Kluyveromyces lactis: one gene and its partners. The protein of the gene in region 1 interacts with the protein of each later gene in a pairwise test. Links are inferred from orthologs where the notes say so. Each region holds a gene or a part of one and is shown in the gene's direction. Other genes may lie near its edges.

What was found.
Region 2: the proteins of MYO1 (region 1) and SEC2 interact in a two-hybrid assay, tested with the Saccharomyces cerevisiae proteins (2 studies listed by BioGRID, with this or other methods). The link is inferred for Kluyveromyces lactis from reciprocal best matches to the Saccharomyces cerevisiae genes MYO1 and SEC2.
Region 3: the proteins of MYO1 (region 1) and MLC1 interact in binary tests that used the Saccharomyces cerevisiae proteins (3 or more experiments, as listed by UniProt). The link is inferred for Kluyveromyces lactis from reciprocal best matches to the Saccharomyces cerevisiae genes MYO1 and MLC1.

What each region holds. Positions count from the first base shown.
Region 1 is NC_006041.1:1,021,581-1,025,902, reverse strand, and holds the start of MYO1 (myosin 1), read left to right. Parts: upstream 1-1,384; coding exon 1,385-4,322. Other genes in the region: KLLA0_E11617g (F-box protein), read right to left, coding at 1-675. UniProt on the Saccharomyces cerevisiae protein: Required for cell division.
Region 2 is NC_006039.1:193,617-197,693, reverse strand, and holds SEC2 (guanine nucleotide exchange factor SEC2), read left to right. Parts: upstream 1-1,450; coding exon 1,451-3,427; downstream 3,428-4,077. Other genes in the region: formin BNI1, read left to right, coding at 1-1,161; AVT2 (Avt2p), read left to right, coding at 3,690-4,077. UniProt on the Saccharomyces cerevisiae protein: Guanine nucleotide exchange factor for SEC4, catalyzing the dissociation of GDP from SEC4 and also potently promoting binding of GTP. Activation of SEC4 by SEC2 is needed for the directed transport of vesicles to sites of exocytosis.
Region 3 is NC_006042.1:962,177-964,712, reverse strand, and holds MLC1 (Mlc1p), read left to right. Parts: upstream 1-1,601; coding exon 1,602-2,030; downstream 2,031-2,536. Other genes in the region: KLLA0_F10461g (uncharacterized protein), read right to left, coding at 1-683; ERT1 (Ert1p), read right to left, coding at 2,186-2,536. UniProt on the Saccharomyces cerevisiae protein: Essential light chain for the class II conventional myosin MYO1. Also acts as light chain for the class V unconventional myosin MYO2 and for IQG1.

The sequences.
Region 1 (4,322 bases):
TTTTTTATTGGGTAAATATTGTAATGTGTCCAAGGGCAATTTCCGTGACCCGCTTTCCCAATACAAACATGATAGTCTCGTCAACGAATTGATGGATCTATGAACGAAATTCACAATTTCCATATTCGAGACCCCATCGGGCAAAGAATATATTTTGAGACTTTTTACCAATATCCCTAAGGGGAACGCAGTTTGTATTTCATCCTGTGATAACGATTTCATAAACTTCTTTAAATTGTACTTCGTCTTGATATAAGTACATCGTTGATTCTTGTCCGTTCTCAACGAATCGTTCAATATAGAGTATGACGTATCTACCACGATATTTTCGTACAAAGAAAACATCGCCGCGTCATAAAAAGATTTCGATACCGATGCTAAATTCACCAAGTCATATTGGCTCAAATTATTGGTAATTTTAACCTTAATTTCAATGGGTAAATTCAATATCTTTTCACTAAGAATAAATTCATCATTCTTTGTGGTATTATTAACAGCAGAGGTGTAATTATCATCTGCAACATTGCTGTCGTCGTGTTTTGCAATCACATGCTTCGGAAGCGGCACACCTGCATGGCCGACTGGTGCAGAAAGATTGAAATAACGTGCCATAATATCACGTCTGCTCAAGTGCGCATAGGAAACACGATCGTTACCAGTACTTTCGAACATCATCTTGAAAGGTTGAACCGTTTTAACTGTCACAAGCTAGTTTCAATCTTATATATGTCCAGCATATACTTGATTGACGTTTAGAACTGAAAAATCCTGCGTCTACACGGAACTCTAAGCGAAACACACAACAACACTAAAAACATACAATGATGCTAACGAACAACAAACTATATTGATGACTACACCTTATTTTCGAACGGCTAGGTGCAATAACGACTAGGAATAAATTCTCAGTAGTTGACATTTTTCACCTATTTTAACCTAATTCGTATTATGGGTGTTGAAAAATACACCGGGAAAGTGAATAACTAAGTGACCCAGACGTGCCACAGACGTGCCACATCTACTATATTCATTGTCCCAGGATTAACAAGGGCCAGTACCTAAAAGCATGAAAAACAGCAACGTATATACTGTTCAACTACACATATAAGCTTTTTAGCATGTGTATGGGCTTCATGAAACAAAATCCACGTGACCTCAAATTACTTTACGTATCAATTCCCTTTTCTGATCTCTAATTGTTTTGTAAACAAAAAAAAAACATAAACATCAAGAACAACTGGAATCAATAACAAACACTAGCGGTCTCAATTGCATGAATAAATTCAATTGAAGAGCATTGATATTGACTTCTGGTTCCAATAACGTAGCCTCATTGACCAAATTACAGGTAAACTCAATTTGGGTACGAGGCTGTTAGGAAAACATGAGTCAACAGAGGGAAAAAGTATGGGTATCTGATGAACGAGAGGTTTTTGTTCAAGGTCAATTGGTAGAGCGGAAAGTGGTTAAGAATAAGCAAGGCCAGGAACAAGCGGTTGCTGTGGTTAGTGTGAATGGTAAGGAAACAGAGTTTTCCGAAGACGATGTAGCCTCGGTGAATCCTTCTACCTTTGATAAAGTGGACGACTTGTCTGAATTGACGCATCTTAATGAAGCTTCTGTTCTTTTCAATTTACAGAACAGGTACCAAGATGATTTGATTTACACTTATTCAGGATTATTTTTAGTGGCCATTAACCCATACAGTAATATCAAGATATATAGTAACAGCTATATCAAATTATACCATGGATCTCCGAAGGAGGATAATAAACCGCATATCTTCGCTGTCGCTGAACAGGCTTACCAGAATCTTTTGCATCAAAAGCAGGATCAATCGATCTTGGTTACCGGTGAGTCAGGTGCTGGTAAAACAGAGAATACAAAAAAAATCTTACAATATTTGGCATCCATTACGACGGATGATAAGATTTTATTAAATCAGACGAACGAATCGTTTGAAAGGAAAATCTTACAATCAAACCCAATTTTAGAATCCTTCGGTAACGCCCAAACGGTGCGCAATAACAATTCCTCACGTTTTGGTAAATTCATTAAGATCGATTTCGACGAATATGGTAAGATCAATGGAGCACATATCGAATGGTATCTATTGGAGAAATCAAGAGTTATACAAGCTCATGCCAGGGAAAGAAACTACCATATTTTTTATCAAATATTATCTGGCATGTCGAAGCAAGAGTTACGGGCTATTGGATTAGAATCGAATTCCATCGTTGATTACCAGTATCTACGACATTCCAACCCATCAATTCCAGGTATTGACGATGGTCAAAATTATCAGGAACTTGTATCCGCGTTTGAAACTGTTGGATTTACGAAGGATGACATTCAATCCATTCTCAAATGTATTTCTATCATATTGCACATCGGTAACGTTGAGTTTGTATCAGAGAGGTCAGAACAAGCCAGCATTAAAAATGATATCAAACCCTTGTGTAAACTTCTAGGAGTTCAGGAAGACGATTTCAAGTCAGCTGTTCTAAAACCTAAATCAAAGGCTGGTAAAGAATGGGTATCACAAGCCAAAAATGCCTCACAGGCAAGGTCAATTCTTAACTCTTTATCCCGATCATTATATGAGAAGCTTTTCGAATATATTGTAAATCAAATTAACAAGAGTTTAGAGCATGGATCGATGACTGAATATTTTATTGGATTATTGGATATCGCTGGGTTCGAAATTTTCAAAGATAATTCTTTCGAACAACTATGTATCAATTACACAAATGAGAAATTACAACAGTTTTTCAATCATCATATGTTTGTATTGGAACAAAATGAATATCAAAAGGAAGACATCCAATGGAATTTCATCGATTATGGCAAAGACTTACAAACCACAATTGATTTAATTGAACAGAAAAACAGCAGCATTCCAGGTATACTACCGATTTTAGAAGAAGAATCGATCTTACCAAAATCTTCAGATGCCTCTTTTTATTCGAAATTACTTTCATCTTGGGATAATAAATCCACTAAATTCAAAAGGTCTAAGCTGGATAACTGCTTTATACTAAAGCATTATGCAGGTGATGTTGAATACAACGTTACTGATTGGCTATCAAAGAATAAAGATCCTTTAAATGAAAATTTATTGCAGGTACTCAATGATTGTGCGAACCCTCTGGTATCACAATTTTTCGCAGATCGCATTAGAGGCAGTTCTTTTAGGACATCATCTAACAAACATAGGGAACAGCTCCATACACTCATTGAACAGCTTGGCAATACGGATCCCCATTTCGTTCGTTGTATAATTCCAAACAACAAGAAAAAGGCAGGTGATTTTGATAAGAAGCTTATTCTAGATCAATTACGGTGTAACGGTGTTCTTGAAGGAATAAGAATTGCTAGGGATGGTTATCCCAACAGAATATTCTTCAAGGAATTTTTCCAAAGATACAAAATTCTTTCAGATGAGTGTAGATTCACTAACAACTCCAAAAAGAACTGTGAAATACTGTTATCATCACTTCACCTGGATCCAACAATTTACAAGGTCGGGAACACAAAGCTGTTTTTCAAAGCTGGTGTATTAGCAAACCTTGAACTGCTGAAAGAACAGCGTTTGAGTGCAGCTGTTACTAGGTTAAATGCTATAATATCTGCTAATTCAGTCAGGAAAGAAATCAGAAGTCATCTTAAGAAATTACAGGCTGCAAGGATCTTAAAGGTAACTTTTGAAACCTATGACAGGCTCATGGAAAATCCATGGTACAATTTATACATGAAATTGCTACCGCTTTTAGACTCTTCGAATACCATCTTGAAAACTAAAAAAATAGCTGAACAAGTCAAACAACTCGAAAACAAGCTAGCAGAGAGCGAAAAAAGTACGACGGTTATGGTAGATGCAAAGAGGCTGGTGGAACAAGAGTTAGAAAAAGTTAAAGCATTATTGTTAAAAGAAACTAGTGAACTACAACAGTCGCAAGAACTTCTTGAGGCTACCAAGACAAAGCAAATTCAAATTCAACAAAAATGGGATGAAACTCTGTCAATTAAAGACTCTTTGGAAACTGAAAACCTCGAATTATCTAAAGAAGCTGATAATTTACGCCTTGAATTAGAAAAGACGAAAAATGCTTCCGATTTATCAGAAGATAAGTTTAGAGAGTTGTCCCATGATAAAGAAAAGCTGGAGATTACAGTCAATGAACTTAAGAATAAGTTGGATGTTGTAAAGAATGACGAGCGTGCTTTAGACTCCGAAAAAGATAAATTAATTAGGGAAATTAGTGATTTGAAGAAAGAGATTCAAGAGAAGACGATGTCTTTGAAGGACATGGAAGCCAAGG
Region 2 (4,077 bases), on another chromosome or scaffold:
ATGAATGATTCTTCAAAGCAAGCTCAGGGGTTCAAGCTAAGCACCCTACAAAGATTGACCTTCATTAAAGATGAAAAGAACAGTATGACTTTTTTGAACTATGTGGAAAAGATAATTCGTGAAAATTATCCCGAATACAGCCATTTCGTGGAAGAGCTTGAGCCTATTTTTAGCGTAACAAAAATATCCATCGAACAGTTGGTAACTGATTGTAAGGAATTTTCACAGTCAGTAATTAACGTTGAGCGTTCTATTGAAATTGGAAACCTAAGTGACCCTTCTAAATTCCATCCGTTAGATCGTGTTTTAAATAAGGTAGTACCGGTTTTACCTGAAGCTAGAAAGAAAGCTGATCTTCTAAGCGATGAAATCAAATTAAGTTTGCTGGAATTTGAAAATCTAATGAAGAAATTTGGCGAAGATGCCAACGACAAGTTCTCTAAAAACTCTTTCTTCCAAAAGTTTGCAGATTTCATTACCGAATTCAAGAAAGCTAAAACTCATAATGTCAAACTGGAAGAAGAAGAACGTGCTTACGAAAGGAGAAAGAAAATGATTGAAGATCAACAACGGAAACAACAGGAGGCAGATAGTAAGGCAACAGCAAAAAATTTAAGCACTTCGCAAGAACCGTCTGATGATAGGGACGATATAGAGAAGCTTTTGGATAAATTGAAAAATGCAGCTCCTTCAAAAGGAGATCCATCTAGTACTCGTAAACGTGCATTGGCTAGAAAGAAATTACTAGATGGTAAATCCGGGGCATCAATTTTTGATAACATCACTGCTGATAGTACTATCGAAGCTTTCGTGGAACAAAATAGAACGCTTACCGAATCGCCTACTGCTAAAAAATCGGCCAGCCTTCCTGAAACTGAAAGCTTGTCGTCATCAAAACAAGACCCTGCAGATAGAGCAAGGAATTTATTACTAGAATTAAGAGGCCCTGACGAAAGAAAAGACGCTTCTCCATCCCCAATCAAAGCAAAGGACAAGCTTAGGGATCTGAAAAAAAAAGATTCTTCTGTGAAAGTAGACCAACCTAATAAACTACAATTTGTTGGAAGCCTAGAAGTTGGACCTCATCCTAAACCGTTATCGCCAACCCAAGATTTGATGGACACATCGAACTCATCGGAAGATGAGTTTATTGATGCTTAAAGACTACATAATACTCATTTCAGCATTTATTTAATAACTACAATATGTGTATACTTGCATAGACATAATTCGTATACCGAAATTGACATTTTCATTTTAAAACCGGGTAATGAATTTAGTTCCAATGTTTGATGAAATCAAGAATGTAATATATATCAACCAAATTACCAGAGGACTAATGAAATACATAAATACTCGCCTGTGTAATTTACTTCAATAAATGAATCACTGATTTTGCTAACAGAAAGTACTTGCTACAAGCAAAGCTGACGGTAGCCTTATTTTTAGAATGGCGGATCAAGAAGAGTCAAAGCGCATATCTTTGCAAGTGACATCTTTATCTACGCAATTAATCGAAAGCATTGATAAACAATCCCAATTAGAAGAACAGTTACTAGTGGCTAAGAAAACCATTTCCACTCAGCAGAATATTGCGAACTCATATAATGAATTGAAGCAGGAACTACAATCTTTGAAATTACAATACGAAACCGATAAGACAAAATTCAAGAAACAGGAAGAAATTTGTGCTGATGCCGAAAAGAAAGTGGCTACATTGAACCAAGAAATTGAAGACTTAACCGCTTCTTTATTCGATGAGGCTAATAACATGGTAGCAGATGCAAGGAAAGAACAAAATGCTGTAGAAATATTAAACTCGAAGCTCAAAGAGCAGTTGAAAGAAAAGGATTTATTACTTGATACATTGTCAATGCAGTTAAAGAATCTCAAAAACGTACTCTACAAGTTCGAAAATGATTTCAATTCTTCGAAGAACGTTTCACTTTCAGATTCTGCGACGTCCTCTACCACATCAATTGATAGATCAACCACCAACCTAACCTCAGTAAATGATAATTCATTGTCGTTTCAAGGCGTGTTATTTTCCCCTCTTCTGCATTCGTTAAGGTATGACGTTCCTCTATACACAGAATATTTGAAATTTCTTGCTGTGCTACCACAATGCGAAAACCTTCAACAAACCACTTCGGAATCGAAACTATTAAGGAGATTAATAAACTATGAAATAAGTCCCGTCTTGCGACTTGATAATGCCTCCGGAGTAGGATGGCTTGTAAAAAGAAATTTAATGAATTTAATGATGGAAGGACTGGTATCAATCGAGCCGATTAGTGGAATAAATGAAACATATCGTACAGGATATAGTTCTCCAAGTATTCCCGACTCTCCAGAGGTCGAAAACAAAGATTCTCATTTGTTTAGCCGTCCGGTGAATTCTCCGCCTGTTGCTATGGTAGAACCATGTGCTTTCTGTGGTGAAAATAGAAACGACATCCTTGAACATGGAAGACTTTATATCTTCAAAACATATCAAAAGCTCGAAAATGGTAAAAATGAGTTAACAAATCAATTTCCCGTGTGCCATTACTGCTTGTTGAAATTAAGACAAGTTTGTGAAATTTTCGCATTTTTGAGATCATTGAGATCTGGTGCTTGGCATCTAGAAAAAGTAGCTTTGGCATCAATACATCAAGGCAAGGTCAATGCTTACTCCGAGGTAACTAAAGCATCAAGGCCGAAAATGAAATCCAAAAGATTAAGTATTTTCCAAGGATTAAAGCAATCGCAATCTTCAACTCCTATCATAGAAAATGGTCCACAATTTGCCGACAAAAACGGACTACCAACAACCAATATCCAGAGGTCATGGGCCCGTCTTTCACAACTACGAGCATCTTTACAATGGTCGCATATTGGCGTATGGTCTCTCGACGAATCGGTAGCTACAGATATTGCCCCATCAACAGATATTTCCAAAGCTAAAAGTTTTGAAGAAGAACAAGGTCTAGGCATTGCCTCAAACAATATCCCTGTCCCTATAACACATGAGGAGGATGAAACTTTCGATTTTGAAGCGGATACCGCAAACTCTATCAGTGTGGATGAAACAGTCAATGGTATACGTCACACAGATCAATCATCGGATGATATTGGCGATCATAATGAGAAAACTAATGAGAAGACTGCCACGGATTTACAAGGAAAGAATGAAGAGAAAAAAAGCAAAAAAATTGAACCACAGCATTCAAGACAGCCCTCACAATCATCCACAGTATTAAATGATAACAAAGAAAGTGCCGAATCAGCTCATGATACCCATGCATCATCTGAAGAGCCAAGTGATTTATTGGAAACTTATCAAGATCTGTCCGCTGATCTTGAACCCGAATCTGAAAAGCCTGAAAATTTGGATAATTCTGATGAAGAGGATAGTTTTAACGATGCAAAGGATGTCGTCAACTAGTGTCATGCACAATCTTTCCTCCTACCTTGCATACTTTGTAACAATAAATACCTGATGTAGAGAGTTTCATTTCAATGCACGTGATTTGTCAAATTTCGTCATCCTTATCATACCCAAAAGACTAAGCACCAAATTTATATATTGCAAGTATTTCTTCTTGCCTTAGATAAAACAATATGGCTGTAAGAAGGTTGTAGTAGCAAACGGAGCGCACGATAGTTGAACCGCTTATGGCCTACTTTGTGAATTATAATTAATACAGATGCAGATAGCCGCTGATAAAAAGTATGCAAAACTAGCTCTGTCTGATAAACAATCGAAGAATGAACCAAATCCGTTTGAACTGGAGTTAACGTCATTTGATGACACCGCGAAGACAGCTGACAGCGCAGTTGACCAAAACATTTTTAATGTTAATGAAGAAGACCCATTAACAGATGACATCTATTTATCTAATGAGGCAAAATCTAACAGGTACATGGCTTTCATGAACATGGCGAATAGTATTTTAGGATCAGGAGTGATAGGGCAACCTTTTGCGATGAAAAATTGCGGAATCATCGGCGGATTATTTGCGACCATATTAATGTCCATACTGGTTGATTGGACCATTCGTCTGATTGTGATCAATTTGAAATTAACCGGTAAGA
Region 3 (2,536 bases), on another chromosome or scaffold:
TTGAAAGAGGATAACAAATGAGCGGCACCGTGTTCACTGACTGAGACACGGTTAGCTAAAATATCACCAGAGATTTCCCTAAGCGATTCACACAAATAATTGGTCATTTCCTTGTGGAAAGATTGCGAATCATAATCTGGCTTCTTGTTCATGCTAGTCAACTGGGTTCTATTGACCTTCAAAGCAACATGCATGAGTTGAATAACCCTACTTGCACGATGGTTGTTTAAGTCTCCGGTGATGACTAACTCCCTGTAGATATTCATACTACTACTGACCGAATCCCAAAACAATGAAGATTGATCTAGGAATTTACCATCGGGGGCACGAGAGGAAGATGCTTCCAAACCTCTGGCCAAACAGTCATCCAAGGCATTAAGTTTAGAGAAAGCTGGAGAATTAGGAGAGTTTTTGAAATTATCGAATTTTATGTTTCTTCTTAGGTTGCGGACCTTTTTAACGTTACGTTCAATGATTTCATTATTTTCATACTTCTTCTTAGAGTTTCTCTTATCCGAAGACGACTTGGCTGGTGCTGCAGTTGTTGGATCCTGTTGAGGATTACGCTCTAGTGCGACAGCGCTGTTGAAACGGAACTGGGAATTTAAAGAATTTCTGGACGCAGAAACGAACTGATTTGGGACCCTACTCTTTAGGGTCTGTTGTTGGACAAGTCTAAACATGGTTTTAGACAATGGCAAAGAAGATGTTCTTTTTAACCGGAAAAAACACTAATAACGAACAGTTGATTAGCTCTGTGTATAATAATCAAAAGAATTTGTTAGTAATATGAACCAAAGACTTTTTTTATAGGTAAAAGTCTAAAATCTTGAATAGTGTTAGAGTTTAGGGAATATATATATATCCATCGCCTCTGAGGGAAACCCGAACCTATTGTAATCGGACATAGTAGTCACACATACCTTTTTTTTTACTGATGAACGAAGGAACACAATATAATGTTCAGAGTTTAAACGGTATACTGATCTGTGATATAGTACTGAGCTATAACAAAAGAAAACACAACAATGAAAATTATGTCTTAGTTAACAAAAGTGATACGACACTGAACGATAAAAAACTGTTATTGAGTATGTTAATAATCGCTTTTGTTATATAGGTCATATCAAAAAAGAAGCTTGAACACTTTTCATCGCTCGACAAGAAGACAAAAGAAAAAGTGTCATCAGATGTCAGGAACATTGGATGCTGAGGAAAAGAAACTGAACGAGGGAAGGTTGGAAATTTTCGAAATGCGATGTTGAATTGTGCGGGTAACAATATATTTGACTCACGTGATGGGTATTTAAAATCCGGGTAAATGATATCTGACTGAGTTTTAGGTCGTCCAAAAAAAGAGCTTTTGAGGCCCCAGAAACAATAATTTGTTTTCCATTTTGAAAAACGTAAACAATAAGAGTATCTTTACATTTGATATATTTACTGGAGGAAGGCATGCATTGTTCTACACATTCGAATAGATTTATATTTACCTTGGAGCTTTAAATAGTATCTACTTCTTGCTAGGCTAAGTGATACTGAATCGTGATTTAATTACGCAGTACTGTATTATTCATTGAAGAAGTGGGAAATCAATCATCATGTCCAGAATCAACAAAGATATTTTTACGCTATTTGACAAGCAAGCCAAGGGATCCATCAGTAAGGCCCAAGTTGGTGATTATTTGAGAGCAATTGGATACAATCCTACCAATGCGCTAGTGGAGGAAGTTGTCGCTTCTTCAGGTGACGAGTTGACCTTAGGTGATCTAGAAAAATTAGTTAAGGATAACGAAGAGAAGTTGGAGCAAACTACTCAAGGTAAAGTAGAGGATTTCATCAAAGCCTTTCAAGTTTTTGACAAGGATAATACTGGCAAGGTATCACCAGGTGATATTCGTTACCTATTGACCGGTCTAGGGGAAAGGTTAACTGACGAGGAAGTTGATGAATTGATGAAGGGGATCGAAATCGACTCTGACGGATTGATCGACTACAAGAAATTTGTTGAAGATGTATTGAGACAATAAGAGAGAGGATGTAATGCAACTCAAGATTACATGCATTAGTTAGTATAATACAAATATATATATAAATATAAATACCCAATCTCACACGCCAGGAGCTTTGCTCTTTTGTTCTATTCTAAGCAGTCCGATACTATTGACTTGTGACAGTTCTAGATTCAAAACCCAACGTCTTCTGGTAGGGTGAGAATTGGCATGAAGTTCCCTATTATCATCATAGGTAAACCAAAGGCGTCTCTTTTTAGCGTCCATAGACAACAACATTTAATAACGCTTCCCTTGATCGGGGTTAATAGATTACAAATTCGCATAGTTTCAGCACCTCTGAACCCCTGATATGCAACCCTAGTGAACGTTTGGAAGTACTCCATTACCGTATCACCATCCATCAATTCGACTATGAAGGTCATTTTGTTGAGTAGTTCTAGACGATTCCAGCCAGTCAATAGAGAAAACTCGTCATTCACATAACTGATCTGTCCGTTACGTCTCCATACACAAGTTGGGGT